4 linked regions of the Saccharomyces cerevisiae S288C genome follow. The gene in region 4 interacts genetically with the main gene of each other region. Each region holds a gene or a part of one and is shown on either strand. Other genes may lie near its edges.

Region 1 (7,774 bases), on a different chromosome or scaffold from region 4:
AAATTCCATCATACTAAGTTTCTTGGTATAGTTACATTATCGTTGGTCTACTCCTTCTCGATTTCCCTCTTAGAAATAATCAACTCTTGCAACTGCCTTTCCACCGTAGGATCATCTACATACTTGTTAAATACGTTAAGCACTCTCAAAAAAGTTTCGTTACTTGTTACGCCTTCCACAAGTTGACCCAAGAAGATTTTAGAAAGAACGGATAAAATGCTAGTAATTCGTTTCATCTTGACATCTTGGATTTCATCCAACTCAAAAATCGGTAATAATCCTGTCTCTAGTAGGTTATCCACCGCAACTTTTTCCGTACGTAGTTGACTTGCTCGAGATAACAGAATGTTCTCTAATGCTTGCAATGCTTGCATACCTAGTTCGTCACAGGGATTGAGGCATTGATGGGCGAGACCTTGAATAGCAGCTATAATCTCATTCTTGTTGAGTGCTGAATTACTCCTCCCAACAGTCGAAAGTAGGTCTGCAGTTATATTAATGGAACGACTAGAAAGATCAATAATAGAACGGTATGGATTGGATTCAGGTGCTTCACACCCATCCTCGACTGAATTTTCATAATTTTGTTCCCATTTTGTGCCAACGGCACCTGCACATGACATTTCATCAAGCAGACTTAATATGTTCATAAAGTTCCCATCATCTACAAAGATATCACCATTTTGAATGTATTTTTCCAAAAATGTGTAGACGGCAAATTGGCGGTCTTTGGCTGATATTAATATCCTTAAAAAATTCCAAAATTTTACATTTTTGAGAGCCCGCTCATTGTATTTTACGTCATTGAGATGTGTAAACAGATCATTTATTACTTGCTTCCCCCATTCACTTTCATAATATTTAGTATTGAAGATTTCATTTTTTACCAAAAAGTCGTGTTCTATTAAATCACTTAAAATGTCCCGTGGATTATCAAATCTCGAAACCAAAAACATTTTATACGAGGCAAGTCTTGCAATAGCCTCCTTGGAAAGGCCATCTAAATTCGAAATATTAATCATATGATCAGCAATTAGTGCTCCAAATTCTTGTCCATAAGAAGCCTCTGATATTAATATAATGGATATTTCCAACAAAAAGAGAAGTTCTTGTTCGAAATAGGGCGAATTTTCACTCGTTTTTTCAATCACAAGTGAAGAGAGAAGAGTTTCAATCATCTTAGGACTGACGAGTTGATTGTTCTCAAAGACTGAACTGAGAGGATGGCTAGCCTTAACGCACTCAAATGCTTTAATGGAAAAATCGATGTCTTCTTCCGAAGGTTCTTCATCGCCTTTCAAGTAAGAGGCGAAAGTAGACAGAAGGCTTCTGCTCATCTTTGCCTTGCGGATCGATATATCTGGATCTGGCAATGGTAGTTCAGGAAGTTTCAAGAGTGAATGAAAGTTTGTAAAAAATGGTAAATTAGGTTCCATCAATAAATTCTCGAATAATTTCAAAATGAGTTGCACAATCTGGTTCCATAGTCTGGTAGAAACAATGCTAGGATCACTTATTTCTTTAATGATTTGAAAGTACAATACGGTACATAACTGAGCCTTAAAGTTTTGTCCAAGTCTTATACTCTGGTTACTAACGGATATCTTCGACCCAGTGTCTTCGACGAATATCTCGACCAAAGGAATACTGTCAACATCTAGCTCCACCGCTTTTGCGCTACTTTGTGCCAATGTTGTCATTTCTCCCAGATGAAGTACAGTATCATTATATGACTGGTCAAAAGAAAAGTAATAGTTGATAAATGTACACTTACTAATGGCGTCCAAGATACGTAATGATATTTGATCACTGGAAGCAACTGTGAATATTTTGAATAAAGTCTTCAGGATAATATCTCTAACATTTGAGAAAATTGCTTTCTCATACTGAAGTATGTCTATTTGCGCTAACTTAGAAATAGGGTTTGTGAAATCTCTTTGCATCTCTGTCATCACAGATGTTGAGGATATTAAGTTATTCCAGGCATCTTCAAACCACCTTTCATTTCCATGATGTTCTTCAGGCATTACTATTTCCTTAACTTTGATGGACGTGTAAATTTTATGCAAATACCAACGAGGAAAATCTTTTCCATTGTAGCATCCTCGTAAATTGTTAGAGTAGTCATCAAAAGTCATATGGTCTTTAACCTGCGGGTTATGTGAATCGGTATTTAACATGATTATCGAATAACTTAACACAAACACAGAGTCTGCATCAGGCTGTACATGAATGATGTCATCTTCTGTCATTGACTCTGAGCCATTTTTTCCTGCTTTTTTATCCTCTAACTCCACTTTATCATTGCTTTGATCAGCAGAATATTTTGATGAAAATGCTTCAACGATTCTTTCAATCTGTTGAGATTCCCCTGGTAATCTGAATTTCGTCAGCAAAATTCTGATCGCTTCATCAACCCTTAACCCTTTAAAATCGAATAGATCTATAAATTCTTTTAACAATGAAGTTTTTTTCGGATCACAAAGTAATAGACCGATGGTTTTCTTATTTAAACGTCCGTTATTGAGAAACAAAAATGAAGCAATGTCTCTATTAGAATCCGAATCAATGAATCCTTTTTCAATTAACATTTGAATGCCTTTCTTTGCCTTTTCATTAAATGTTTCAACGCATAATATGAATTCAGTCTTTCTGTCTCTCTGTTTCAAAATATCAATTTCTTTCTGATTTTTTACGAATTCTGCCCTATCAAATCTCTGCAGATCATTGTATATATTTTCAATAAGCGAAAGTACACCTTCTAGGCAAATTGGAGGAATGTTGTTAGAGGTATTAACGGCCGCCGCTGGTAAAGAAAATTTAGTTAGCTCTTTTATAAAGTCAATCGAAAGATCCGACCTATCCAAATTACAATCGAAATTTACAAAAAGTTGCAAAAAGAAAGCGGGAGAGTGAATCCACAGTATTGAAAGTTGTTCAATAATTAATTCCCTGATTGCAGGTGGTTTTTGCTTACTAACGTCACCACTGATTGTGGTATCCTCTAGAATTTCGAATATTCTCCTTAAAGTCAGTTCAATCTGCATAGGCAAATAATCACCCAATATCACAACCAAACTCGTGAATAATTGTAAAGTTGCTTGCAAAAGAGAATACTGGGTAGAACTTTGTATAATGAATAAAACACTTTTAAATATTGGATCAGAAATTAAGCTGAATAACCGGGGATATAGAGGAAATTTGTCACCGGATATTTCAATGGCTGCATTGATTAACTGTAGAGATAATTTCATGGCCGAAGTTGTGTGCTTCATTCTATTCTCTGGCATAACCAGTGATAACAATAATCCAAGATAATCCTTTATAACTGTTATTCCGTAATTTGGCTCGACATTTTCGGCTTTCTCAGCCGTTTCCTCATCATTTTCCTGTTCCCTTATGACCTGTTGGACTGGCTTCTCATTTTTATTATCGTCTGCAACAGCACTGTCATCATCAGTGCTACTCAAATCGTTATCAGAGGTAGTCGTACCTATAATGTCATCCTTCAAATTATTGTCGGTGTAACTTTCATCATTGATATATTTTTCTGTTTTTGTAGGTGGATCTAGTAACTTCAACTTTGTAAATAGTTTAACGGTTATCCCTGCAATTGTAACTTCAGCCGTTTTCCTCAAAACCTCGCTTCTCTGCGTATTACATGCCAAGGAAAGTGTCGTTTGTAAAACATCGTAGATTATAGTATCGGAGAGATAGTCTCCAAAGGAAGAGGTTATAATATCGCGTAGTAATGTTACAACTTTTAATAAAACAGAGTCGTCCGAAATTTGCTTTGAAGCTTCAAATCTACAATGTGTAAGCGCAACAACGGTTTCCCTAACGGCAATTTGAATATCATTAAATGTTTTGTTTATGATTTTTAGTGTAAAAACTTTCTGCAACGAGTCCAGAGCCAGAGAAGTAGTATAACCCGATACTGAACTAGCGCTGACTATTTCTAAAAATGGTTTCAAAAGTTCCAAGGCGTTTAATGAATCTAAACCCTTCAAGTCGTTAATTTTTAGCCGCAGCTGTACTAAACCAGATATCAGAGGATCATGATAGCTAGAAGTAGGCAAATTGTGGAAGCTGTCAACAAACGAATCACTTTGACTCAAGAATATATCACTACCTCCGCCCAGCAACGCGGCCACACTTGTTTGTGATTTATCTCTGGACTGCTTGTTCATGGCAGAACAAAGATTGATGCACTCTTTGACAATCATCGTAGCTGGGTTCACGGCCAAAACAGTTTCCATTGGCACGTCGTGCATTTTGTATATGAAGCCGTATTAGTTAAACCTGGGCGCTTCTTACCAAAGTTGCGAATTAACTTAACTAAGATGGTTCAATTCTCTGTGTAAAGTATCCATATTAAAAGGTCTTAGTTCCAACATGTAAACAAAGAGATCTATATATTGTTTTTTTTCCAATGCGCTGAGTGATGAAGTGATTAGAAAATCATAAAAATGAGAAACTGCAAAGAAAAAAAAAGTCGTTATTCTGAAAGGTGTTCGGCAGCAACAACCTACATCCAACGCGATGATTCAAGATCCCCTTGTATATTTAGACATCTCCATTGATAAAAAACCAATTGGTCGTATTGTCTGCAAACTTTTTCGTGAGAAGGCTCCTAAAACAACAGAGAATTTTTATAAGTTATGCGCTGGTGATGTTAAGAGTCCTTTGAAGGATCAACAGTACCTGAGCTATAAGGGAAATGGTTTTCATAGAGTCGTTAAGAATTTTATGATCCAGGCAGGTGACATTGTCTTTGGGACACAAAAGGATTCCTCTTCATCGTCTGTTGGAAAAGGTGGATGTTCAATTTACGCTGATAAAGAGGAAGTGAAAACCGATGATGAATCTTTCTGTTACGGGAATTTTGAAGACGAAAACTTGGGAGAGTTTGTAGAACCCTTTACCTTAGGTATGGCCAATTTAGGTTCTCCAAATACGAACAATTCCCAGTTTTTCATAACTACATACGCCGCACCTCATTTGAACGGCAAGCATTCTATTTTTGGGCAGGTGGTTCATGGAAAATCAGTGGTTCGCACTATAGAAAACTGCAGGGTAGATTCTGATGGAGTCCCTGAATCAGACGTTAGAATCAGCGACTGTGGAGTGTGGGAAAAAACTATGGGTGTCCCGCTTTACAACGCTTCTAATGACCAAATTGGCGGTGACGTATACGAAGAATATCCAGACGATGATACACATTTCGGTGACGATGATTTTGGTAAGGCTCTTGAGGCTGCTAATATAATCAAAGAATCTGGGACGCTCTTATTTAAGAAAAAGGATTACTCTAATGCCTTTTTCAAATACAGAAAATCTTTAAATTATATCAATGAATACATGCCTGAACCCGACGTAGACAAAGAAAGAAACATCCAATTTATTAACCTAAAGATGAAAATTTACCTAAATTTATCTTTGGTGCTCTTTAATCTGGAAAGATACGATGATGCTATCATGTATGCTACGTATTTATTGGAGATGGATAACGTTCCTAACAGAGATCAAGCAAAGGCTTATTATAGAAGAGGTAACAGTTACTTAAAAAAAAAGAGACTAGACGAAGCTTTACAAGATTATATTTTTTGTAAAGAGAAAAATCCCGATGACGAAGTTATAGAACAAAGAATAGAATATGTCAATAGGCTCATAGAAGAGAATAAGGAAAAGACAAGAAAGAATATATCAAAGTTTTTCTCCTAATTAGTTACTTGTAAGGCTGAAATTTGAGATTAAATAACCCAATATGAAAACACTACATTAATAAGATGTAATTATTTTTATTTATAAATCCATTTATTTGATAAAAAATATGATATCATACAAAGTCATCTAGTAAGTTCTTGGTAATAGCAGATTTTTTTGGCTTCTGTGGCTTTTGTGATGAAAGATCATCTAATATGTCCTTAGAGAGTTTATCTTTCCTATTTTCTGAGTTGTCTGTTTCACCCACAGAGTCGTTTGGCGCTTTTGGAGTTAAATTCTCTTTATGCTGAGAATATGAAGGAGAGACGAACTCATCCAGTATACTTCTAGGTGCAGAAGAAGAACTTTGAGCGAGGGAATTTGAAGAAGTGCTATTTGGTGGTGGTTGCAAGAAGTCGTCTAATAAGCTATTTGGTAACTTTGGATTAGGTGACTCTATATCTGAAGCACTTGGCGAGCCAAACTTATCAAAAAGACTGGGCCTCATCCTAGCAGTAGAAATTGGTTCAGACGCCATGGCGCCAATAGCAGAATATGCTCTATCCTTGGTGGGGCTCTTTAATAGCTTCTGAACTGGTATGGAATTTCTTTCGATGAACTTCCAATTCTTCACAAGTGAAACCGCCAGGTAATTGCAACCCATTCGGCAAAGAATATCAGTAACTCTTAAGATCAGAGTACACTCGATTTTTGCTTCAACATTTAGAGATCCAATGAAATACTTCAAGTTTCTGTTTCTCAGGTGATTGTATAGATAGAGCAAAGCAGGGTCTTCAACAAGGAATGATCTGTTAACACAGACTTCCTTATCAACAATGCTTGAGTTGTTTTCTAAATCAATCGGAGCAGTCAGCAAAGCTTTAATAGCCACTTCCTGCTTTCTCAATTTCCAGTAAATGAAACTTGCTTTCCATCTATCATTCTCCTTTATTGTTTCAGGTAGCATTTGCGCTGTCAATAGCTCTCCCAACACGGGTCCATTATCACCTTCATAAACACGACATACACCGATTGCCAAATCCATATCATGCACTTGCTTGCAAAGAACGTTGACACAATCTTTTAGAGAGTCAGTTAAGAGAAAGAAAACTGCTGCATCCATATATCTATGCTTACTTAGCAGAACAAAAGCATTTTTGAGTGCTGCCGTTCTCCACCTCGGTACAGTGAAATCATTACTGATAAATCTAACCATCTTTTGCTGCTCAGGATGACCAATAGCCATCTTCCACAAGCTCAATAGTATCTGTTTTTTCTTCAACGCAAGATAAAAAATAGCACAACGGCTTGGATCCCTCTTATCATCTTTGGAAAATTCATATTTTGCAATATCCTCGAATTTCTTCACCAAGTCCTGCTCCTTAATCCAATAGGCTATTCTATATTCTCGAGCGCGATTCCATGAGGTTATGTGGCGGTCAATAGAAGATAATAATATTTCTTTATTGTCTGAGTGCAATGCCCAAGACACATCCCTCATCAATATGCTTTTTTGAATATTTTTATGTGATAAAAATAACTTCACGCCCAACAAGAACCTAACACCGTTGTAATCTACTATATTCTCATTTTTGGTGACTTCATCCACTGCTTCAATGACTGTGATAAGCGTGATCTGCTGGTGGCGGGTTAGATAAGGCAAAGTTGTTTTCGTTAGTTGCTCAGTAAGTGCTAGAGACACTGTCTTATTGAAACAGGGGTATGGATCAGGGAAAGATTCGACCGGATAGTCTCTATCTTTAGCAATAAAGTACTTTAATGGATCCATTCCTAGATTGGAATCCAAATTAGATACATCTTGCGATTCAAAGTCTAATTTTCTTAACGCTAAAAACAATCTTAATAACAGCTCCTTGACAAGTTGTAACTTATTCGCATAAATGGCTTGAATCAAAAATTGTGGATGATAAACTGGAAGTGGACCATTTAAAACACTACTTAAATGGAGAATATCATTTGATAAAATTTTTCTTGAACCAATTGATTGGTACGTAAATGGATCAGTCAAATCCAGAGATTTATCCTTGATGTAAAATTGATTTCCGGA
Region 2 (7,792 bases), on a different chromosome or scaffold from region 4:
TCGATCTCAAATTTGCCGAATGATGGGGATTGTTCAATGGTCTTGGCGTTAAAGATCGGTTTTTCAGATGGTTCAAAAGATAGGGAAGACACTGGGTCATTGTAGAAAATGGAAATCTTTGGGTAAGTGCCGGCCTTCATGACACTCAATAACTTATCGGCAATCAAAGCAGATTCTTGGAAAGTTGGGGCATCTTTACCAATTCCATTAATAGACAATTTAATGTTGTTAGGATGGGTTCTCAATAGCTGCATTTTAATTTTATCACCAATAGTGACTATATCGGCGTTTGGTTGATCATTCAAATGTCTTCTCACAGCTTTAGCCAATTGAGAGTGGATAGAACCACACAACCCCTTATCAGAGGTGATAGCAACAATCAACTCTTTAGGAGCACCTGTTTCAGTAGCCTCAACATCCAAATTTTTGGTTTCGGCGTTCTTGTAAAACAACTGCTCTGCTTCATCCATCTTCTTTGCGGAAATTTTAGCCTTTTCAGCTTTACTCAATCTTGTAGATGCAACAATCTTCATAGTTTTTGTGATCTTCTCAATATTTTTGATAGATTTCAAACGCATTTCCACTTCTTTCAAAGTAGCATAAGTTCTCACTGGGTTAGTCTTATAAAGAATACCCACTTGCGCTTGGTGGCACATTACGGAGCGTGTTGCATTGTTTGATACAATTCTTGACAACATGACTACTAAATAAAATAATGTTTACTGCTCGTCTTCAATTGTTTCCACCTGAAATTAACCAAAACGGTTCAGTCTCAATAGTTTCTTATTTGTCTTTTTTAACTGAGTGATAATCATTTAAGCATCTCCCTTCCGGGCCTTCTTTAATCGTTATTGCGGTCCGGGTTCCTCGCGTAGTTACTCGCCGCTCATTGGTTCTCCATCACGTGATAAACATTTCTTCCAAATAAATGAGAACGTTCATTAAATATCGAATAATTCACTTATTATATCTCCATCATATACTTACTAGTTCTAGCGACAGCTCCTATTCATATATCTTCTTACTTTTTTTTTGTTTTATCGACAATTGCTCTACGTTTCGACGTCTAGAAAATGTACTAAAACAGTGCGCTCTCTACCCATAAGGATGAAGAATACGTAATAACAAGAGTTTATTCTCCTTAGTATGTATTTGATAGCACACTCAGAAAGATGAGTTACTACTTGGAAAATCTCAAAAGCTCTTGATGCCCAGCTCATACATAAAAAAACGCCGGAGAACTTTAGCGTCACCAGTTACTGCGACACGGCTTTTAGAGAGGAAAGTAAAGGTCTATGAGTAAAAAGATAGATTATGTTATGCTACATTATATTTGGTATTGAAACATGTATATTATATATAAAAAGTCTAAGAGAGAAATGTCAAAATATCCTAGAAGGTAATGGTTGTCATAACCTGTACATTCTAAAACAGAATGAGAAAAAAGAGGGAATGACGAGAAATTAGCTGAAAAATACTGGCATTAGCCCTTTTTGTGGAAAACATTTGGTAAGTCTAATTTAGAGACTTCCCATGAGCCGCTACCTTCAACTTTATTTCTGTAACTCACTATTATACGCAAGTATTTCATGAACAAAAAGGCCATGGAACCAACCACCCTAAAGGCAGCTAAAGCGGCCACAGACCATAAAATGAATATCAAATAACCATTGTCAGTATCTTGTGGTGTAAAGACTTGAATTATAGACATGATCAGTATTAGATTTGATAGCATCCAAATCATCACAATTCTGGTTCTTATATCTCTATAATAATCATTCTTGGATTGTTTTTCATTGCCGCTTGATTCTTCAAATTCTGGTTCTTTCAAACGACTTTTTATTTCCAAAAACTTCTTATCAACTTCCTGAGGCCAATCTGTTTCCACAATCTGTTTCCCATCTGGACCTTGAACGACAATGGCCTTGGACAATTGCTTGGACTCCTGTGTGGAACCTTTAGTACCCCAGGAAACGTCGTGTGTATTACAGAAGGCAAAAATCTGTAAAGTACACGTAAAGGCGGGAAGTGTCAAAAAGTATTGTATGGATGATGTAAACATGTGCCAAGGATCTAGGTACATCAGTGATGAGAAAAAGTATAGGCCATAGGTGGAGAGCAATGAGATAACGATGTCGACAAATATTTTGTGGGATTCCGTTCCAGAAGCTAACGACTTGAAAGCAAAAACAAACCCACAAATTAGAGAATATGTGGCACATATAGACAGTATAACCATGGAGGTAATGAATAAATGTTTCGCGCCCTGGGGTCTATTACCCATGGAAATAATGAATAAACTTGCCAAGTCACAAAAGATCAGGTATTTAAAAAAAATGAATAAGGCCTCACCATGTTTAATAACTAAATTCATTGATCCTGCTAAATAATAAAAGGTAAGAACGAAATTTGCAATAGAAAACCAGGAAAAAAGCATCTGAATAAATTGATAAAGGAATTCAACATGAAGAAAGAACTTGCGTACAACAGAATGTTTAGTTTTCCAAATTTGGTAGAAATGCAATTGAGCATAAATTGCGGCAAACATTGCACCATTTAACCAACGTCTTCTTTGAGAAATAAATTCAGAAACGTCTTCGGGAACATCCGTTTCACCAGTGGCTTCCTTAACATATTTTAGAACCCATTTTGCATCTCGCTTGGCGACCAATTCCCAACAAAGAATTCTATCTTCAGCCAAGTACATATTTGCAGTGAAAACATCATGGTCTCTGCCTTCTTGAGTTTCACCAAGGAAATACGATCTGAGAGGGCCAGTGCCATCTTCATGATTTTTTAAGGCTCTATACCTATATGCGGACAGGGCACCAGGAAGAACAGAGATATAACCAAAAACACTTTCTAATGGTTTATCTAAAATATTCGAGATCTTATATTCAAAATTTTGCGATGCAACTAATGGATTGAAAAGTTTCAGTCCCCACTTCCCCTTCATAGTCTTAATCTGACCAGCCGCACCAGCCACATTTGAATCCATATCAAAAACCTTCCATAACCTGTAAATTGCTGTATTGTTTAAACGTGTACCGACATCAACCAAAGTAACTACAGTAGGTTGCAAAACGGGACAAAACGCGTTGAATAGCCAACGATGGGAATTGATCTTTTTCTTATTTTCTTCTTTTAGACAAAAAACCAATTGCACAGGAACAATGTCCTTTGAAACATAATCCAGATCGGCGTTGATAGAGACCTGAGTTGTCAATTCAAAAATGTGCGCTTTTACCGGATCACCATTCACAGACGCCTTGGCCATATCTTCTTGATAAACACCCAAAGCAGCTAAATAGTCGAGAGACCCTTGGTTGACTTTTGCTCTACCGTCACTAATCAGAATTACAGAGACTTTCTTCCAGCCATTGGGGCCCCAAACATGAGATTTTTCACGCTTACAAAGATGAGCAACATTCTTCATAATGGAGTGGATGGTTCTTGCCAATGAATATTTATCTTCATTGTACATGGTAATACAAATGGCAATTTGACATTCTCTGTTCATCTCTGCGAATCTCAAAGTGTAACCTTCTCTCAAAAAATCGTCAGGTTCCACAGTGCAGGCTGTATATCTCATTTCCGTAAACTCAGGGGAGTTCCTACGAGGCAAAGTATCCAACAGACCTTTTGGTATCGGGTTGTCTAGTTTCAATAGTGCCTTCTTCTTGCTTGGGGGAGGCAAGTCTGAGACCATTCTTCTCTTACTCTCAGAATTGGCACGTCTTACATACTGCTGTCTTGTTGGATGGTTCAGTTCAAATTTTGTTTCATTGAAAGTGTCTGCAGAGAAAATTGTAGACTGATCATCATAGGAAGTAGTCGAAGTGAGGTATTTTTCCTTTTCATCGTCTGCTTCTGCCAGAGAGGGAGCCGTTGTGGAAGTAGTAGACATCGTGTATTTCGAGCTTTGAGAATACAATCTGCCACTTCCAAACAGATTGTTACTGGGCTGTTGCTGGGGTGATAGATGGTAGGGGTCTACCGGTAGATCTGCATTATCGCGGGGGTAAAGGTTACTCCCCTCACTTAGATGTATGACAGCCTCGCCTGCTCTTTTGGGAGACTCTTGTAGATTAGCAGCATACCTGTTCGGAGCAACTGGAGAGTTATGGGCACTATCGCGGTAAAATTGAGTTCTATGGCGACGGTCTGGGGAGTATCTTAGTGCAGCTCTCGAAGGAGATGCCGGAAGGCCTTGGAAAACGTTAGATTGGTCATAGCTATCCTCCAAACTCTCCTCACTGGGATTAGCCCACCGAGAGTTGCTGTTAGCGTTTGCGTAAAATTTGGAGAGGTTTGAAGCACCACGTCTATTAGGAGAGCCATTCGAAGGTTCCACCATAAACGGGTTTCTCGTCATTTCTATATGTGGTTCTTTGGTTTTTATTTGGGTCTATATGTAACTTCCTCTGTTTTCTCTTCTGAGTCACGAAATCAACAGTAATATTATGGAAGATAGTTAAATAGACTGGGGCCATCCCAAGGGAGAGTCCTCGAATTCCCAATTGAAACTAAATTGAAGTTCTGTAAATTTCAATATCGATGCTATCATACTCAAATAGGAAATATATAAACAAATAGTATAGGGGTTTATACTAGGGTTTTAAACCCCAAAAAACTAACCCTACTATCTTCTTTTCAGACCCTAAATTGAAGGAAATAAACGGGAATAATAATCAATAGCGATCTCCCGAAGAGAAAAGTGAGAAAATAGTATAATTGTGTCTATTGTGTTTATAATCGGCATTAGAAACGTATGTTCGTATAAGGCAAGGGAAACAGAAAAAACAGCAAACGTAGAAAAGATGCTGAAGTTGTCAAGAAGTGCCAATCTAAGATTGGTCCAATTGCCAGCCGCAAGATTAAGTGGCAATGGCGCTAAATTGCTCACTCAAAGGGGATTCTTTACTGTAACGCGCTTATGGCAGTCAAATGGCAAGAAACCATTAAGCAGAGTACCTGTGGGCGGTACTCCCATTAAGGATAACGGCAAAGTGCGAGAAGGCTCGATCGAGTTTTCCACGGGAAAGGCCATTGCTCTATTCCTAGCAGTCGGTGGGGCACTTTCTTATTTCTTCAACAGGGAGAAACGCAGATTGGAAACACAGAAGGAGGCTGAAGCAAACAGAGGATACGGTAAACCTTCACTTGGGGGACCCTTCCATCTGGAGGATATGTATGGCAATGAGTTTACGGAGAAAAACCTTCTCGGTAAGTTTTCTATAATATACTTTGGGTTTAGTAACTGTCCTGACATCTGTCCTGATGAACTGGATAAGCTAGGTCTATGGCTTAATACACTCTCTTCAAAGTATGGTATTACTCTGCAGCCATTATTTATAACTTGTGATCCAGCAAGAGACTCCCCTGCTGTATTGAAAGAGTATTTGAGCGACTTTCATCCCTCCATCCTGGGTTTGACGGGGACGTTCGATGAGGTGAAGAACGCATGCAAGAAGTACAGAGTATACTTTTCTACGCCTCCAAACGTCAAACCGGGCCAAGATTATTTGGTAGACCATTCCATCTTCTTTTATCTCATGGACCCTGAAGGACAGTTTGTTGATGCTTTGGGTAGAAATTATGATGAAAAAACGGGCGTGGACAAGATCGTGGAACACGTTAAGAGTTATGTGCCTGCAGAGCAGCGCGCCAAGCAGAAGGAGGCATGGTACTCCTTCTTATTCAAATAAGATTGTAAATATATGCTACTTTCTTCCTTGTATATACATATATACTTATAACGCTATAACCCGTTCTTGTAATATCGGCTATCACCCGGCGAAGGTGTATCGCAAGAAAAAAAAAAGCTCTCTCACTCTAAAGGAGGCTATGTGAACGTGGGAAGATCAAGTGAAAGAAATGTTTGTAGGCCATTTTCTTCCAGAACAGATCCGCTCTTGAGCTGGTGAGTTAGCACGATAACAAACAAAGATACAGCGTCATGTCTACCACACTACTTTGGTTTTCAAGTGTAATAGGCTACGTGATTCAAACAAAATGTTTGTCTAACATACAATCTAAAAAGGAAATCTCCGTGGGGCCCAATGGTACAATTGCAACGCCTGAAACTAACGGCGACAACGGAAACTCAAGTTCATTAACCTTCTATCTGACCTTTATGTATTTTGCTTCGTGGCTGCTCTTGGTGCCTGCATCTCGACTTTGGGAGAAGATGAGACCGATGTTTGTCTCTGACTCAGACTCGAACAGGAATTCTCAGTTTGACAACAACAACAGCGGGTCTGTGACAAACGAAGATGTCGATACGTTCTCGCACGTGTTGGATGATCCTCAACCACGGATTCCAGCCCAACAGCAGAAGCAAAAAATCATATCCGTGGCTACCTTCAAATATGTGGCTAAGCTAACAGTGCTGGCTCTCATAATGATTGTCGCTGATTTGACTTATAACATGGCTTTGTCATTGTCACCGGCATTTGATGTTGCTTTGATGCAAAATACTGCCATTTTCGAAATTGTCACTTTACTATATGGTGTTTGTGGAATCTCCAGGAAGAACTACGTTTTCCGTAATTTCCTCATCATGATGAACGCGGTCATTGGAATTTTGATCATCTCATACACGAAGGCTACCTGTGACATGCTTGCCGGAAAGCTGTCCGTCAACCCTAACACGGGTGAACTTTCTGACCCATTCTTGTTTGATAGGTTGAAAGGTGCTCTGATTTGCGGCCTTGGTGCTTTGATTATGGGTCCTTTTGCCGTGTTATGGAACCGTTGGTTTTGCAGTAACATTTCCAAGAACGAAAATTCTGCTGTAGTCTTGGTTAAGCAGAGCACCCACATGGCCCTAATCGGTATTATTGGCATGGTAATACTTTTGCCATTTATTCCTAAATTTCCCTCCCGTGAGTCTGTGGAATCCATTTCGTTGTTCTATAATGACAAGAGCTTTTGGTTCTCTCTACTAGGCTCGATTATCTTTGGTTCCTTGCCGAGCTTGATTTCGATATTAGAGTTGAATCGCAAGGCCCCTGCTGAGTATTTGACGACGTGCAACCTGGGAGCTATTATCTTTATGGGGTTAGCTGAGTGGGTTTGCGAACCTACGCAAACCACAATTGTGAGATGGGAAGTCATAGGATACATAATGCTAACGGTAAGTTTGTTGGTCCTATCAGTAACACTCGGGGAAGGTAAATACCACCATTAGTACGGACAACATACTTTATATGACTGATGATGATGTAACAAGCATATGCAATTATTTGGTTTCCCTAAATAAAAAATCCCAATCAATATCTTGATTATTTTCAAGACAATTACTAGGATGTTCTTCTATTTTTTTATTTTTATTTGTATATTGTATATTCTAAAAAGAAGAAGCCATTTGGTGGGCTTTATTATAAATATTAAGAGGCATACCTCCGCCTATCCGCCTATCCTCGTCATGAACAATCAATTAAAAGCGCTTATAAAGCGATATACAAGTACAGTACGCGCGATTTCTACAATACAAAAAATATACATCAAGAAAAAAAATGTTTCCAAAAATTATCTAAATGCATCGAAGGCATTAGGAGAAGTAGCTGTGAATACAACACCAAGATTCATAAAATGAACACACGGTTCCTTCCGCTTGGAAAATAATGCGACAAAAATACCGTATTGATCATCAAAGTAGTTTTAATAGATACCTAAAAAAACCATCTTGAAAAATCTCAAATTACGTTCTTGATCTTGTGTCATTGTTCAGTTACTGATCGCCCGCAAACCTAACCGATGCTTAAGAAAGGACACCCTTGCCTTTTGG
Region 3 (7,775 bases), on a different chromosome or scaffold from region 4:
CTCAATATAACAAAAACAGAGCAGAAAACGGTCACCACTCCTATGGTTCTCCCCAAAGTTATTCTCCAAGACATACGAAAACACCTGTGGATCCTAGATATAATGTTATCGCACAGAAACCAGCAGGCAGGCCTATACCTCCAGCGCCAACCCATTATAACAACTTGAACACTTCCGCTCAACGGATAGCTTCCTCTCCTCCTCCCCTAATTCACAATCAAGCAGTGCCTGCACAACTCTTGAAGAAAGTTGCACCTGCTTCGTTCGATAGCAGAGAAGATGTACGAGACATGCAAGTGGCCACACAGCTATTTCATAACCATGATGTAAAGGGCAAAAACCGACTGACAGCTGAGGAACTACAGAACTTACTACAAAACGACGACAACTCCCATTTTTGTATATCATCAGTAGATGCGCTGATAAATTTATTTGGTGCTTCCAGGTTTGGCACTGTCAACCAGGCAGAATTCATCGCCCTATACAAAAGAGTGAAAAGTTGGAGAAAAGTTTATGTGGACAATGATATCAACGGATCGCTCACCATTTCTGTAAGCGAATTTCATAACTCACTTCAAGAACTAGGATATCTAATACCTTTTGAAGTTAGCGAGAAAACATTTGACCAATATGCTGAGTTTATAAACAGAAATGGAACAGGAAAAGAACTAAAGTTTGATAAATTCGTTGAGGCGTTAGTTTGGCTAATGAGATTAACAAAATTATTCAGGAAATTCGATACTAATCAAGAAGGCATTGCAACCATACAGTACAAAGATTTTATCGATGCTACATTATATTTAGGTCGTTTCCTACCTCATTGATGAAAACCATTCGTTCTTTCTGGTCGTAATACAAATAGAAGAGGTAAACCAATCAATGGCCCGTTAGTTTGCCATTTGCTGCATCCTTCCCATGCAAAGTGTCTTCGTATTTAGTGATGTTTTGTTAGCGACACAAAAGAGACCTCGATGACAGACATTTTTTTTTCTTTACTTAATGTATTATAAGTGTGTCTGACCTCGACTATCATTATAATATTAATTTGAAGTTCTATTTTACATTTATATGAGTTATTCCATTACATAATAAGGATATCAAGAGCAGATTAGTGTCTTTTAGATTATACATCTTTTTCCCCCCTTTTTTGTTGTTGGTAGTGGAAAGAAAAGGATCAATTAACAGAAATAAATAAATAAATAATAAAAACCTAAAATTCCTTTTGCGTCATTGAATTTTTATTATGAAGTCAAAAGGGAGTCGGTTGTCAACAGACTGTCCTGTCGAATTTCCCAAGATAGTCTCTGGATTCGCTGAGGAAGTGAAAATACGTAGACAAAGTTCCCAAGGACAGTACGCCGTCGATTCACATCCTCCGAAAAGCCCTGAACTGAAACACAGAAGACAGAGGTCATCCTCTTTTGTTAACGGTAAATGCAGGAACAGGGACCTTCCATTGTTAGATAACAAGAAAGCACAAGAAATAAACACCAATTCACACGGCCAAGACATCGGTATCAAAAACTTACCACGTCAACGTGAGTTGTTGAATGCCAAAAATGGAATTGATTTTACGCTGATGGTGGCGGGTCAAAGTGGATTGGGTAAAACCACGTTTATCAATTCCTTATTTTCTACTTCTTTAATTGATGATGACATCAAAGAAAACAAACCTATTATTCGTTATAAAAGCATTGTAGAAGGAGATGGAACACACCTTAATTTCAACGTCATCGATACACCTGGTTTTGGTAACAATATGGATAATGCATTTACGTGGAGGACAATGGTTAACTATATTGATGAAGAAATAAGATCGTACATTTTCCAAGAAGAACAACCTGATAGGACAAAAATGGTTGATAATAGAGTCCATTGTTGTTTGTACTTTCTGAGACCTTCAAATAAGGGAATTGATACTTTAGACGTCGTAACAATGAAAAAATTAGCGAAGAGAGTGAATTTAATCCCGGTTATTGCTAAATCAGATTTGCTAACGAAAGAGGAATTGAAAAACTTCAAAACACAAGTTAGAGAAATAATAAGAGTACAAGATATCCCTGTATGTTTCTTTTTCGGCGATGAAGTTTTGAATGCAACACAAGATATTTTTCAAAAATATCCATTCAGTATAATTGCATCTAATGAGTACATTTTTAATGAAAAGGGCGAAAAAGTTAAAGGAAGACAATACAAATGGGGCGCTGTTGACATTGAAAATGAAAAGTACTGTGACTTCAAAATCTTGCAAAAGACGATTTTTGATTGGAATTTAATTGATCTTGTAGAAAGTACCGAGGATTATTATGAAAAATGCAGATCTGAAATGCTAAGAACTAGGCTATTAAAGGCCAGAGATTGCTTAACAACGAAAAGTGTTGACATAACGGAAGAACAAAGGAAATTTTTGGAGGAAGAAATGAACTTCGATGAAATCGAGGAAAACAAACTCAAAAATTACAAGTGCTATGAAATAATTAATAAAACGGTCATGGATAAGGTGGCTACAGAATGGGATCCTGAATTTATAACTAGACAATTAGAAGCTAAGAAAAAATTCAACGAGCTGTCCAACAGAGAAATTTCAAAATTTCGAGACTGGAAAAAGAGCCTATTCATGGAACAAGAGAATTTTAACCAAGAGATTGAACAATTGAATCACAAGTTGGAAAACTTACAACTGGAATGTCAGGACTTGGAATACAAGCTGTTAATCGGAAAAAGTTCCAACAGCCATTCCACAGATAGTGCTACTTTAGTAAACGTTCACATCAAAAGGTAGTATTAATTAAAAAAAAAAAAAAGCCAATAATTTCGCGCAAGCTTTGCTCTACATAATAAAAATACAATTAGGATAGAAATGAATATTTTTTTAGCGGCAGTTTTACCATAAGTAGCAAAACCCTAACAATACAATGTGAGACTAAAGTAAATCCGGGTAATACAAAATACAATTTTTTTTTATTCTTCACAGCGTTTTTTCGACGGAGGAGGGAAAAAAAAAAATTGTATTTAAGGCATCAAATGCGCGACATCATATACCTTTGTCCGCTGTTATCATACCTTGAACCTCTACATTTCAGCCTAGCGCGCGCAAAAAGAAAAAAAAATCATAAGCAAGAGTGGTACGGTAACCACAAGGCAATGCAAAGAAGGGTGCGATATCAAGTGATGTTACCTTCCTTTACTTTTTGCCTTTTTCTTGAATTGTCAATCCGCCCTTTTTTTCTTTTCAGTTTTTTCTCCTTTCATCCGTCTCGTTTATCATAATGATGATTTCACTTATACCTATATGTTTTTTCTGGCATCTCTAATGTTAGGATGTGAAGTTTAAGTACTCTCCATTCAATGAATACAATTTTTGACAATATCTGATTTTACTATGATTAAACAGACCGAGGGAGAAAAAAAAAAGGAACTAAAAAAGGGCCTACGTAGAAGATGATGTAAAAGTAGATTCGCATCTGAGAATGTTTTCTTCAAATTTTTCTTTTCGGCCTTGGCGCAGAAGACTTTCTCTTCGTCCGCGTCGTATAGGAAACAAAAAAGTGTAAAAAGTAAAAATCGGTATATTACGCAATCCATTCGTTACCCGGTGTAGTCACGTGCGGGTGCGGAGGGCAGCCGTTTAAACCCGTTTGGGCCTTGGTCCGATAGAACCATCTCGCAGGAAAGAGCAGAGCCAGTTATCGGGTGTCGTTTACGCCCAGATGTCGTTTAGCCAGCTCCGCAACGGCCACTGCCACTACCACTGCCTCCCTTCGTATACGGGACACAGAGATCGTATACGGTAAACGACTAGCACTAGGACAATAGCAACTAACAATGACCGATAACAGTCAGCAACCTCAAGGCACCTGGCACAAAACCGTCGAGGAAGAGGCCCTTTGCCACCGTATCGCATCGCTTTCCCACCAATTTTTTTTTTCTTGCTTGCCTCGCCTCTGCTGTGGTCGTATTATTATTATTCATTCTCTGCGCAGTTTAAACTATATACACACGATTAATCCGTTATGCATGTACATTTTCTTGTATGCGTACGCCTGTGTATGCATACTTCTATATAATATATAATACAGGAGGATCTATTCTTTTTTTTCTTCTTCTCTTCTTCTCTCCCTTTTTTCTCTCTCTTCGTTTCTTTCCTTCCAGTAAATCTTTATATTAGTTGTAACTTTTTCTCTTTAGATAGTAGCATAGAGGACTAAGGAAAAGTAGTACAGCCATAAAAAAAAGAGGAAAAGATGTCTGCCGTTTTCAACAACGCTACCCTTTCAGGTCTAGTCCAAGCAAGCACCTACTCACAAACTTTGCAAAATGTCGCCCATTACCAACCTCAATTGAATTTCATGGAGAAATACTGGGCCGCATGGTACAGTTACATGAACAATGATGTTTTGGCCACCGGTCTAATGTTCTTTTTATTGCATGAATTTATGTATTTCTTTAGATGTTTGCCATGGTTCATCATCGACCAAATTCCATACTTTAGAAGATGGAAGTTACAACCAACTAAGATTCCAAGTGCTAAGGAACAACTATACTGTTTGAAATCCGTTCTTCTATCTCATTTCTTGGTCGAGGCCATCCCTATCTGGACCTTCCACCCAATGTGTGAAAAATTAGGTATTACTGTCGAAGTTCCATTCCCATCTTTGAAAACAATGGCTCTAGAAATTGGTCTATTCTTCGTCTTGGAAGATACATGGCATTACTGGGCTCACCGTCTATTCCACTACGGTGTCTTCTACAAGTACATTCACAAGCAACATCACAGATACGCTGCTCCATTCGGTCTTTCTGCTGAATATGCTCATCCTGCTGAAACTTTGTCTTTGGGTTTTGGTACCGTTGGTATGCCAATTCTTTACGTCATGTACACTGGTAAATTACACTTGTTCACTCTATGTGTATGGATCACCCTAAGATTATTCCAAGCTGTTGACTCTCATTCTGGTTATGACTTCCCATGGTCTTTGAACAAGATCATGCCATTCTGGGCTGGCGCTGAACACCACGATTTGCATCATCACTACTTTATTGGTAACTACGCTTCCTCTTTCAGATGGTGGGATTACTGTCTAGACACTGAATCTGGTCCAGAAGCTAAGGCCTCCAGAGAAGAAAGAATGAAGAAGAGAGCTGAAAACAATGCTCAAAAGAAGACTAACTAAGAGAAGAAACATACTTCAAAAAAAAAAAAAAGAAAAACAACAAAAAAACGTATAAAATGAAATAAATTTCGAACCGCTTTTTTTCCTTTTTTTTTTTTTTACTTTGTTTGACCTCCCCTAACTCTTTCTTTTTACCTTCACAATTGTTTATTTTAATATATGATTTTTAAATTAATTCAGGTTAATTCTAAAAACTATATTGCAATCTTTTAAATATATGTATACACGTTCATTACCACGTATACATATCCATATATATATATATATATATACATACTATTTATGATAAATTTTTAACAAGCAAACCCATTATTAAATGCTATAAATAAAAGACAGCTTCTTTCTAATTATTATTCAAACTTAAAAACTACATATACAAAAACTACAAAAATCTTTCAACCGACCCATCTTCTGGCAGATCTGAATAATCTAATCCATGGACCGTATCCACCCCACTCTTCGTATTTGCCCTCTGGATACCAGGAATTGGCCTCCAATCTGCAAACTCTTTCAGGATGTGGCATCATGGCAAGCACTCTACCATTTGGTGACTTGATACCGGCAATACCATTGGTCGACCCATTGGGGTTGAAGGGGAACCTTTCGGTGACGTTACCGTAGTTGTCCACATACCTTATACAACATAAACCATCCTTTTCGAACTTTTCCAGTTGTTCAGCGCTTTTAGAAAATGTTGCTTTACCTTCACCATGTGCGACAGCAATTGGCAATTTGGATCCTGCCATGCCATTCAAGAAAACAGATTCCTCGCTAGAATTGTCCTTTTCTTGAGATATTTGCACCATACATACACGGGCTTCATATTGTTCACTAACATTTCTTTCGAAACTTGGCCAGTTTTCACACCCGGGTATGATATCTTTTAATCTACTCAAGAATTGACAACCATTACAAGCACCAAAAGCAAATGTATCTTGTCTTTCATTGAAGAACTTAGAAAATTGCGAGCGCACACCTTCGTGATACAATACGGATTTAGCCCAACCCGCACCTGCACCTAAGACATCACCATAAGAGAAACCACCACATGCGGCAAGACCGATGAAGTCATCCAAATGGAACCTACCTTCTAGCAAATCTGTCATAGTGACATCCACTGAGTTGAATCCAGCTTGTTGGAAGCACCATGCCATTTCCATTTGACCGTTCACACCTTGCTCTCTTAAGATAGCAACCTTTGGCCTTTGACTGGATAATTCTAATCCGATCTTCATATCATCGGCTGGGTTGTATGTTAGGGCATACTGCAAACCGGGATCTCTATCGTCCGTGATACTGGCAAACTCTTCTTCGGCTGTTTTTGGATTGTCTCTCAATTTCTGCATTTCGTAAGATGTCTTACTCCAAGTTTGCTCCAATTCAGATCTCGAATTGGCGTAAATTACATCATTTGTTGTGGAGTTAATAATCTTGATTTCCTGGCTTTGGAAGGATGGCTTACCAACAATAGAAATATATTCTTTAGCAACTCCGTTCTCGTTCAAGATTTTTTCGAACTTGCTCAAGTTCTTAGCAGAAATCTGGAATACTGCACCTAATTCTTCATTGAATAGGTTTGTTAATTGACTTTCTAGGTCTCCACCGTCAATGTTGATTTCTAAGCCGCATCTGGAAGCAAATGCCATTTCCAGTAAAGTGATTAGTAGACCACCATCAGACCTATCATGGTAGGCAAGCACTATATCCTCCTTTTGTTGATGCAATTGGATTAAACTTTCCAAGAAACCCTTCAAAATGGCGTTATCATACACAGTAGGCGACTTGTTACCAACTTGGTTGTAAACTTGCAACAAAGCAGAGGCACCTAGTGACTTAGTCTCTTGTTTAGCTGATAGATCAACCAAGACAAGGACAGAATCATCTGTGTTTCTATTTAGCAATGGAGTCCACGTTTTACTAGTGTTGAAAACTGGTGCAAATGCTGTGATATTCAATGACAATGGTGCAGTAACTTCCTTATCATCCCATTTCATCTTCATGGACATGGAATCCTTACCAACAGGGATAGCAACACCTAATGCAGGACATAAATCCAGACCTAATGCTTGAACGGCTTCATATAACTTAGAACCCTCACCTTGATGAGAGGCTGGAGACATCCAGTTAGCAGATAGCTTGATATGATTTAAAGATTTCACATCAGCAGCGAATATGTTCAATAAAGATTCTGCCACAGATAATTTAGCGGAAGCAGATGCGGAGATTAGGGCGTTAACTGGTTTTTCACCCATAGCCATGGCTTCACCTGTGGAAATTATTGTCTCACCCAAAGAGGTACCGGTAACACCGACATCCGCAACAGGTACTTGCCAAGGACCAACAAATTGATCCCTATCAATTAGACCTGTGACGGATCTGTCACCAATAGTAATCAAAAATGACTTTGAGCCAACAGATGGTAAGTTTAGAACTCTTTGAATAGCATCTTGTAGGGAAGGAATTTCGCTCAAATTTGCCTCTGGTAGATTTAGTGCTTCAGTTATGGTTTCTCTTGACATCTTTGGAGGCTTACCAAATAAAATTGGCATTTCTAAATCAATTGGAGTTGTTTTCAAAAGAGGATCTTCTACAATCAATTTT
Region 4 (8,445 bases):
ACCCCAATGAAACCATAATCATGTAAATGCTTGAAAATTCCGGGCATACTATCCTCTTCCTCAATAACCCAATCGAAGTAGAGTGCTAGTTGTGCACTATGTCCTTGCTGCTCATTAAATAAATTTACTGACAGTTTGGTGGAATTTCTTTGTTCGATCAGATAGTACTGTTAGGTATTTGTTGACATTTACTTCCCTATCACATCAGACCACTGTTTCTCCTTCCTTTTTGCCATCTTCTTACCTATTATATGATAATATAGTTCAAAAGGAAATACCAGTCAATGAATGATAATTGGCTCTTACTCCAACCGTTCTTAATCTGGACCAGTAATTGTTCTTATGGTGAAAAAGTATGGTGACGTCTTTACTTTTAAAAATATTTTTAACAGTTGAAGGAGCTCCCCGTGTACATCTTGCCAGATCTTCAAGAGAAATGTCACCAAATAAATTATGAAATTAAAGTACAGCGGTAGTGATAAAAACGATCATCAAGTAGTGCCATCCGATATTTCGTGTCAATTTCCAAGCTCATGATTTATGACATACAGGATTTTCAAGAATATTAAATCTTGTTCCTGAGGAATTTTTGATAAATCCAATAAATAGTAAATAATAAGAAAAAAGACAGAACAACAACGTTTTGGTGGGAGAAAGGCCACTTCTCTGACCAGACTAGAGTACTAATATTTACGACAAATATACTGAGACCGTGACCAATGGTAGAAGGTGATTGGCTTGAAAGAAATGCCAACATTAAAGCACATATCACTGCTCTTGATATCAGTAGAGTTGCAAAAAAATTATACTACTAAAATCAGCTCAACGGCAAGAAGTTACTAAGCACAGCAGAAATTCTGGAGCTAAAGAGAATAATATACATACAAGACTGACTGAAAACTCTGTTTTCCACATGCAGTGGACTCAAAATATTCAGTTGAAGAAGCAAGCACAAAATTGGATCAACCCGTCGCGTCGCGGCCGCTGCTGCAGGCGACAAATCCACTGGCAAATTGTACGCGGCCTCGTTACTCCTACTTGAAAACAGAAGTAACAACAACAAATTCAAGTTTCTACGAAATGGGTCTCATGACGACAAGGTGCGCCCCCCTATCTACCTTGTTGTAAGTCTGGGACCTGGGGCTAATTTCTCATCCCCGGAAACAAAAGTATACAACTACGTGGCTAAAAATTTTTTAGTATGCAGCACATAGGATGCCAAGGAGCAATTTTTAACCCTGGCAATCTGAGCTACTGAACGGCCGCCTCAGGACTCATAGTTCTCTATATATAATTTCTCCATGTTTCTCCTTGTGCCTGGTGGAAAATATCAAGTAGTTGCCGCGACATAAAATGAATGCCTCGTAGACACCGCGAAGCCGGAATGAAGGCGGACACTACGGCACCGCCTCAAACCCAACGGCCGAGAGCGAGTTCATCTCCCTCATAGATGCGAACGGCATTGGCACTGACGCCATCATTGTAGAACATATAGACAAGATTAAAATGCGTAATCACATCATGAATGGGAAGTTAGGTGCGGTCCACTACCCTGGGGGCCTCACTGGGGACGTCATCACCCCCAAAGCACCTCAATAAGTCCATAAATAAATATATAAAAATTACTGAATAATAATAAAAAAAATAAATTAGTTCAGTCTAAAGAAATGGAAGCAAAAACCTCAAAAAAAAAATTTTTTTACGAAGACTATGCTTCCAAGACTGACGTCTTAGAGGCATAGTCGAGAAGAAAAGGAATTACTGGCACAGAACGACAAGAAATATCGTGTCGGCGCCAAGGCATCTATGTAACTACGTCTTGTGATCACCGGTATAGCTGGGACTATTCCGTTTCATCATATGATCTGGCCGTCTGCGCTTGTACATTCTGGGCGCCAGGCGTAAATGACCAGAGTAATGTCTTGCTGTAGTCGTCCGTCGCCACAGAAGCGCGTGGACGCATGATCGCGCGCAGCGACCGGTCGGTTCGCAAGACGGTTGGCAATAGGAGTTTCCTGCTGACCGCCTTATTAATTTATATGAAAGAGGAGAATTTGTCATCGGGCTTTCGAATGAAATAAAACAGCTCCTTTAAGTAATGGAACTGGAAGAAGGAAGAGAATAAACGACAGAATTTTCGTGCTCGGAGCGAACACCGCGCCGGGTTACGAACAACAGTGGCCACTACTATAATAGTTATGGAGTAGACGTCAGAATATATAGCGCAGGCGTCAGAGTATAGCGCGGGCGTCAGGATATAGTGTGCCAATGTAGCGTGGTTGCATGCAGCTAGCTTTTTAGTTGAGTCAGACCTGCTCCAAAAAAAGAGGAACACAACTTTCGTCAGCATGTGTTGCTACCGCTATTTGTTCTTCGGGGAAAAAAATTTGCATTCGCTATTGTAGTTTTAATTTTCCTTCTCTATTCTCATAAATAGAGTTAAAATCTTATAAACTCCAGAATTATCAAGAACAATTACCTATATTATTTCCTATTGCAGAATTTATATTATTCTTTATTGTACTGATATCCCCATTATAACTATCAAAAAAAGGACTTCAGCACCTGTATCATCATGAGCTTCAGTAGTATAGTCTCTAAGTTTTTGAGATATTTAGAAATTCCTGCCAAAAATAGGACTGCCGTGAATTTTCTGAGGAACCCTGATTTGCAACCTATCAAGTCTGCAAATCAAACATGGGGGTTCTGGTCTAATTTGGCGTACTGGGGCGCTGTGTCCTTTACAGCAGGTACATGGATGAGTGGTTCTGCTGCACTAAGTGTCGGCCTAAGTTACCCAGAGACCATTGTTTCGTTTCTTCTCGGTAATGTCTTGACCATTATTTTCACTATGGCCAACTCTTACCCCGGTTATGATTGGAAAATCGGTTTCACCTTGGCCCAAAGATTCGTTTTTGGCATTTACGGTTCAGCCTTCGGTATCATCATTAGAATTTTGATGAGTATTGTCAATTATGGTTCCAACGCTTGGTTGGGTGGTCTATCTATCAACATGATATTAGATTCCTGGTCCCACCACTATCTGCACCTGCCCAATACTTTGTCCCCAAGTGTTGCCATGACCACCAAGCAGTTGGTCGGCTTCATTATTTTCCACGTCCTCACCGCGCTCTGCTATTTCATGAAACCCTACCATATGAACTACCTTTTAATTTGGTCATGTGTAGCTACTTGCTTTGCCATGCTGGGTATAGTGATTTACTTGACTAAGAATGCCCATGGTGTCGGTGAATTGTTTACCTCCACAAAATCTACCGTTACTGGTTCTAAAAGAGCATGGGCTTGGGTTTACATGATTTCATACTGGTTCGGTTCCATTTCTCCAGGTTCCACCAACCAAAGTGACTATTCAAGATTCGGTTCCTCCAATTTGGCTATCTGGACCGGTAGCGTCTGTGCATTACTAATCCCAGCAACCTTGGTCCCAATCTTCGGTGTCATTAGTGCCTCCACCTGCGACAAATTATACGGTAAACAATTTTGGATGCCCATGGATATATTCGATTATTGGTTGACAAACAACTATTCTGCAGGCGCTCGCGCAGGTGCCTTCTTCTGTGGTCTTTGCTTTACCATGTCTCAAATGTCCTCCACCATCTCCAACTGTGGGTTTGCCACTGGTATGGATATGGCCGGTTTGTTGCCCAAATACGTCGATATCAAGAGAGGTGCTCTTTTTTGCGCATGTATCTCCTGGGCTTGTTTGCCATGGAACTTCTACAACTCTTCTTCTACTTTCTTAACTGTCATGAGTTCTTTCGGTGTTGTCATGACTCCTATTATTGCTGTCATGATCTGTGATAACTTTCTGATCAGGAAGAGGCAATATTCCATTACTAATGCCTTTATTCTAAAGGGTGAATACTATTTTACCAAGGGTGTCAACTGGAGAGCTATCGTTGCCTGGGTGTGTGGTATGGCTCCCGGTCTACCTGGTATCGCTTGGGAAGTCAACAATAACTATTTCCACGACTCAGGTATTGTTAAATTCTTTTATGGTGATTCTTTCTTCTCCTTTTTGATTTCTTTTTTCGTTTACTGGGGGCTATGTGTCTTCTTCCCATTCAAAATTACTGTTAGACATGATGACAAAGATTACTATGGTGCATTTACCGACGAAGAAGCGAGAAAGAAGGGCATGATTCCATACAGTGAAATTTCTGAGGAAGAAATCCGTGCTTACACGTTAGGCGAATGCTACACAACTGGACACGAATACAAACCTGAGAGTTCTGATAACGAATCACCTGAATTGATCAAAACTAGCTCAGAAAACACTAACGTATTTGAAATCGTTCACCAAAAGGATGATGAAAAGCACTCCTTTAGTACCACTCAACAAGTTGTCTGATGACAAAGAATCCGATAAAATGAAGATCTCAAATATACAAAGAGGAAACTTCAACGCTTCATTTGAAAATCTGTACAGATCTTACAATTTGGGAATACTACCAGATCGATCCTCAGCTGCAAATACTTTACTGTCAAGTATGTCTATGGTGACAAATATCGGCATTATTGTGTATGGCTCAATAATTTTATAAAAAAAGGAACTATTGGTTCTTAGTATTTTCTTGCTAGAAGACATATTCTTACCAATCCTTTCATAAGCTAATTATGCCATCCATATAGCAAGAGAATCCGGTGGGGGCGCCATGCCTATCCGGCGGCAACATTATTACTCTGGTATACGGGCGTAACTCCATAATATGCCACCACTTACCTTTAACATGTTCATGGTAGGTACCCCACCCAGCCATAAGGAAATTTTCAAAGGCGTTGGATCAAAAAATAGGCCTTTATTTCATCGCGTGATTGAGGAGCATAACATGTTTAGTGAAGGTTTCTTTTGGAAAACTTCAGTCGCTCATTATTAGAACCAGGGAGGTCCAGGCTTTGCTGGTGGGAGAGAAAGCTTATGAAGCTGGGGTTGCAGATTTGTCGATTGGTCGCCAGTACACAGTTTTAAAAAGTCAGAGAATGTAGAGAAGTATGGATCTTTGAAACCCTTTTATTTTATTTTACTTTTTTTAGAATGACCTGTTCCCGACACTATGTAAGATCTAGCTTTTAACATATTATGGAAACCTGAAATGTAAAATCTGAATTTTTGTATATGTGTTTATATTTGGGTAGTTCTTTTGAGGAAAGCATGCATAGACTTGCTGTACGAACTTTATGTGACTTGTAGTGACGCTGTTTCATGAGACTTTAGCCCTTTGAACATATTATCATATCTCAGCTTGAAATACTATAGATTTACTTTTGCAGCCATTTCTTGGTGCTCCAAGGTTGTGCGTATCTATTACTTAATTTCTGTCCTTGCCAAGTTTTGCAGCAGGGCGGTCACAAGACTCCTCTGCCGTCATTCCTTAGTCCTTCGGGAACACACTTATTTATGTATTTGTATTCTACAATTCTACGGTGCACAAGGGTTGGGCACTGTTGAGCTCAGCACGCAACTATTGCTGGCATGAAGATAAGATTGATTTTTGGAAGAATAAGCTTGTGGAAGTTACCTGTCTCTTATTTTTTTTTCCTTTTTGCACTTTTTTTTGGTGATCACTTAGGTAACAATCTATAACACAGCAGTATGAACCCACTAGTTAACCATTCTGCGCCGATGGTATACCTTTTTCATTGCTTAATTGTCTGTGAGAGGCTTGATAAGCTAAGGCTCATGGCGATAAATCCACGATGAACTCGTTTAATGCAAAATATAGGTCGCGGCTTGCCGGGTACCAAGTCGCAACAAAGCTCCCCGAATTGTTTCGCCCATTCATCTGACAGGACAGAATGCCAAACATATGATGCATGATGCAGCAAAGAGCACAGTAATCACTATTTTCTGCATATCATATAGCCAGATTGCTATAGTGTTTGGCTTTTGTCCTGCTGTTAATTGTTTTGTTTTCTTTCTATTTTTATAACTATTATTGGAGAGTAGATCAAGGATACAAATAACAACAACAACCACCAATACCGACCACTTAATAAAAGTAACCATATAATGGGTGTGAGATCCGCTGCAAAGGAAATGCACGAACGGGACCATAATTCGGACAGTTCCAGTTTAGTAACTTCCCTGATGAAATCTTGGAGGATATCGTCGGCTTCTTCCTCCAAGAAGCCATCGTTATACAAAATGAATACTACTGAATCTACTAGTTTACCCTCGGGTTATGCTTCCTCGGCAGATAGAGATCGGAGAACCAGTGACGGTAATTTTGAAGCTATGGCAAAGCAACAAGCAAGCACTAGACGTACCTCGAATTCCTATTCACCTCTACGATATGTAAACCCCACTCTAAGCACTGCAAGTAACGAAAGTCCCCGGCCTGCTTTACTCTTACGTCAGCATCACCAGCGTCATCACCACCATCAACAACCCCGCCATAGCAGTAGTGGTAGTGTAGGCAACAATTGCAGTAACAGTACAGAGCCTAACAAAAAGGGTGATCGATATTTCAAAGACTTAGATGAGGATTGGAGTGCTGTTATTGACGATTATAATATGCCTATTCCTATACTTACTAACGGTGGATTTGGTACACCTGTAGCTCCAACGAGAACTTTGTCGCGAAAATCCACTTCTTCTTCCATCAATTCGATTTCGAATATGGGGACCTCCGCAGTACGGAATTCTTCCTCCTCTTTTACATACCCTCAATTACCACAGCTGCAAAAAGAGAAAACAAATGATTCCAAGAAAACTCAGTTGGAAATCGAAAACGAACGGGATGTTCAAGAATTAAACTCCATCATCCAGCGCATTTCTAAATTTGACAATATTTTGAAAGATAAGACAATCATAAATCAACAGGATCTGCGCCAGATCAGTTGGAATGGTATCCCAAAAATACACAGGCCTGTTGTTTGGAAATTATTAATAGGTTATTTGCCTGTGAACACCAAGAGACAGGAGGGTTTCTTACAAAGGAAGAGGAAAGAATATAGGGATAGTCTGAAACATACCTTTTCTGACCAGCACTCAAGAGATATCCCAACTTGGCATCAGATAGAGATAGATATACCGAGAACAAATCCCCACATTCCCCTCTACCAGTTCAAATCCGTACAGAACAGTTTACAACGAATACTATATCTTTGGGCAATCAGGCATCCTGCTAGCGGATATGTGCAAGGTATTAATGATTTAGTTACACCATTTTTCGAGACTTTTCTTACCGAATATCTGCCGCCTTCACAAATAGATGATGTAGAGATAAAGGACCCCTCTACTTATATGGTAGATGAACAGATTACAGATTTAGAAGCGGACACGTTTTGGTGTCTTACCAAATTGCTCGAACAAATTACCGATAACTATATTCACGGACAACCAGGCATATTAAGACAAGTGAAGAATTTGAGTCAGCTAGTGAAACGAATTGATGCTGATCTATATAACCATTTTCAAAATGAACATGTGGAGTTTATACAGTTTGCATTCAGATGGATGAATTGCCTTTTGATGAGAGAATTTCAAATGGGTACAGTAATAAGGATGTGGGACACATATTTATCTGAAACTTCACAAGAGGTCACTTCTTCTTATTCTATGTCGTCCAATGACATTAAACCTCCTGTTACTCCAACAGAACCTCGAGTGGCAAGTTTTGTTACACCAACAAAAGATTTCCAATCTCCCACCACAGCTCTTTCTAATATGACACCAAACAATGCTGTTGAAGACAGTGGAAAAATGAGACAGTCTTCGTTGAATGAGTTTCATGTGTTTGTTTGTGCTGCATTCCTCATCAAGTGGAGTGACCAGCTAATGGAAATGGATTTCCAAGAAACTATAACTTTCTTACAGAACCCTCCTACAAAGGACTGGACTGAAACGGATATTGAAATGCTTCTGAGCGAAGCCTTTATTTGGCAATCTCTTTACAAAGATGCTACGTCGCACTGGCTGTAAACGGACCTATTCATTTTACTTACTGTATAGTATGTAATAATATAAAACAAAAATCTCCTAATTCATAAATCCTGAGGAACGTGACACATAAAGTTATTGTATACAGATCATCTAAAGATTGGTTTGGTAGAATGTCTCCCAAAGCTCGATGCATTCTTTTTGAGATTCAATGGCCGCTTCTAGTGATATTTCCATGCCGTTTCGGAATTCCCGAATTTTATCAGTAGAGAAACCTTGGAATTCATCTTTTATTTTATCTCCTACCGCTTGCCATTGTTTTTTTGTAAGGTTATACCTTCTCTCCAATGTTTGAAATTCCTTTCTCATTTCTCTGAATTTTTCTGAATGAATATTTTGACCCAATTTGCCCAATTGTGAGTGTTTCTTATTCATGTCATTTTCTATTACTACCAAGAAATACCCCAATTTGGATCTCTGATTGAAAATTGCTTTTACGCTTGCCAATGACCTAATATAGTCGTCCAGCATCACACCCATCG

What was found.
Region 1: mutations in GYP1 (region 4) and CPR7 are lethal when combined (synthetic lethality), as found in Saccharomyces cerevisiae (5 studies listed by BioGRID, with this or other methods).
Region 2: mutations in GYP1 (region 4) and CSG2 together harm fitness more than expected from each alone (negative genetic interaction), as found in Saccharomyces cerevisiae (5 studies listed by BioGRID, with this or other methods).
Region 3: mutations in GYP1 (region 4) and ERG25 together harm fitness more than expected from each alone (negative genetic interaction), as found in Saccharomyces cerevisiae (5 studies listed by BioGRID).

Annotation. Positions count from the first base shown.
Region 1 is NC_001142.9:486,539-494,312, forward strand, and holds CPR7 (peptidylprolyl isomerase CPR7), read left to right. Parts: upstream 1-4,542; coding exon 4,543-5,724; downstream 5,725-7,774. Other genes in the region: Arf family guanine nucleotide exchange factor GEA1, read right to left, coding at 48-4,274; RAV1 (Rav1p), read right to left, coding at 5,840-7,774. UniProt on the Saccharomyces cerevisiae protein: PPIases accelerate the folding of proteins. It catalyzes the cis-trans isomerization of proline imidic peptide bonds in oligopeptides. Plays a major role in negative regulation of the heat shock transcription factor (HSF).
Region 2 is NC_001134.8:308,481-316,272, reverse strand, and holds CSG2 (mannosylinositol phosphorylceramide synthase regulatory subunit), read left to right. Parts: upstream 1-5,959; coding exon 5,960-7,192; downstream 7,193-7,792. Other genes in the region: ATP3 (F1F0 ATP synthase subunit gamma), read right to left, coding at 1-698; chitin synthase CHS2, read right to left, coding at 1,484-4,375; Cu-binding protein SCO1, read left to right, coding at 4,821-5,708. UniProt on the Saccharomyces cerevisiae protein: Required for calcium regulation. May regulate calcium accumulation by a non-vacuole organelle. Also regulates the activity of CSH1 and SUR1 during mannosyl phosphorylinositol ceramide synthesis.
Region 3 is NC_001139.9:606,320-614,094, forward strand, and holds ERG25 (methylsterol monooxygenase), read left to right. Parts: upstream 1-4,244; coding exon 4,245-5,174; downstream 5,175-7,775. Other genes in the region: PEF1 (Pef1p), read left to right, coding at 1-824; septin SPR3, read left to right, coding at 1,244-2,782; ADE6 (phosphoribosylformylglycinamidine synthase), read right to left, coding at 5,570-7,775.
Region 4 is NC_001147.6:455,407-463,851, reverse strand, and holds GYP1 (GTPase-activating protein GYP1), read left to right. Parts: upstream 1-6,031; coding exon 6,032-7,945; downstream 7,946-8,445. Other genes in the region: YOR072W (uncharacterized protein), read right to left, coding at 2,036-2,350; NRT1 (nicotinamide riboside transporter), read left to right, coding at 2,576-4,372; VPS5 (sorting nexin 1), read right to left, coding at 8,057-8,445. UniProt on the Saccharomyces cerevisiae protein: GTPase-activating protein (GAP) that stimulates specifically the intrinsic GTPase activity of Ypt/Rab-type GTPases YPT1 and YPT7. Functions on the Golgi as a negative regulator of YPT1. Functions on the vacuole as a negative regulator of YPT7.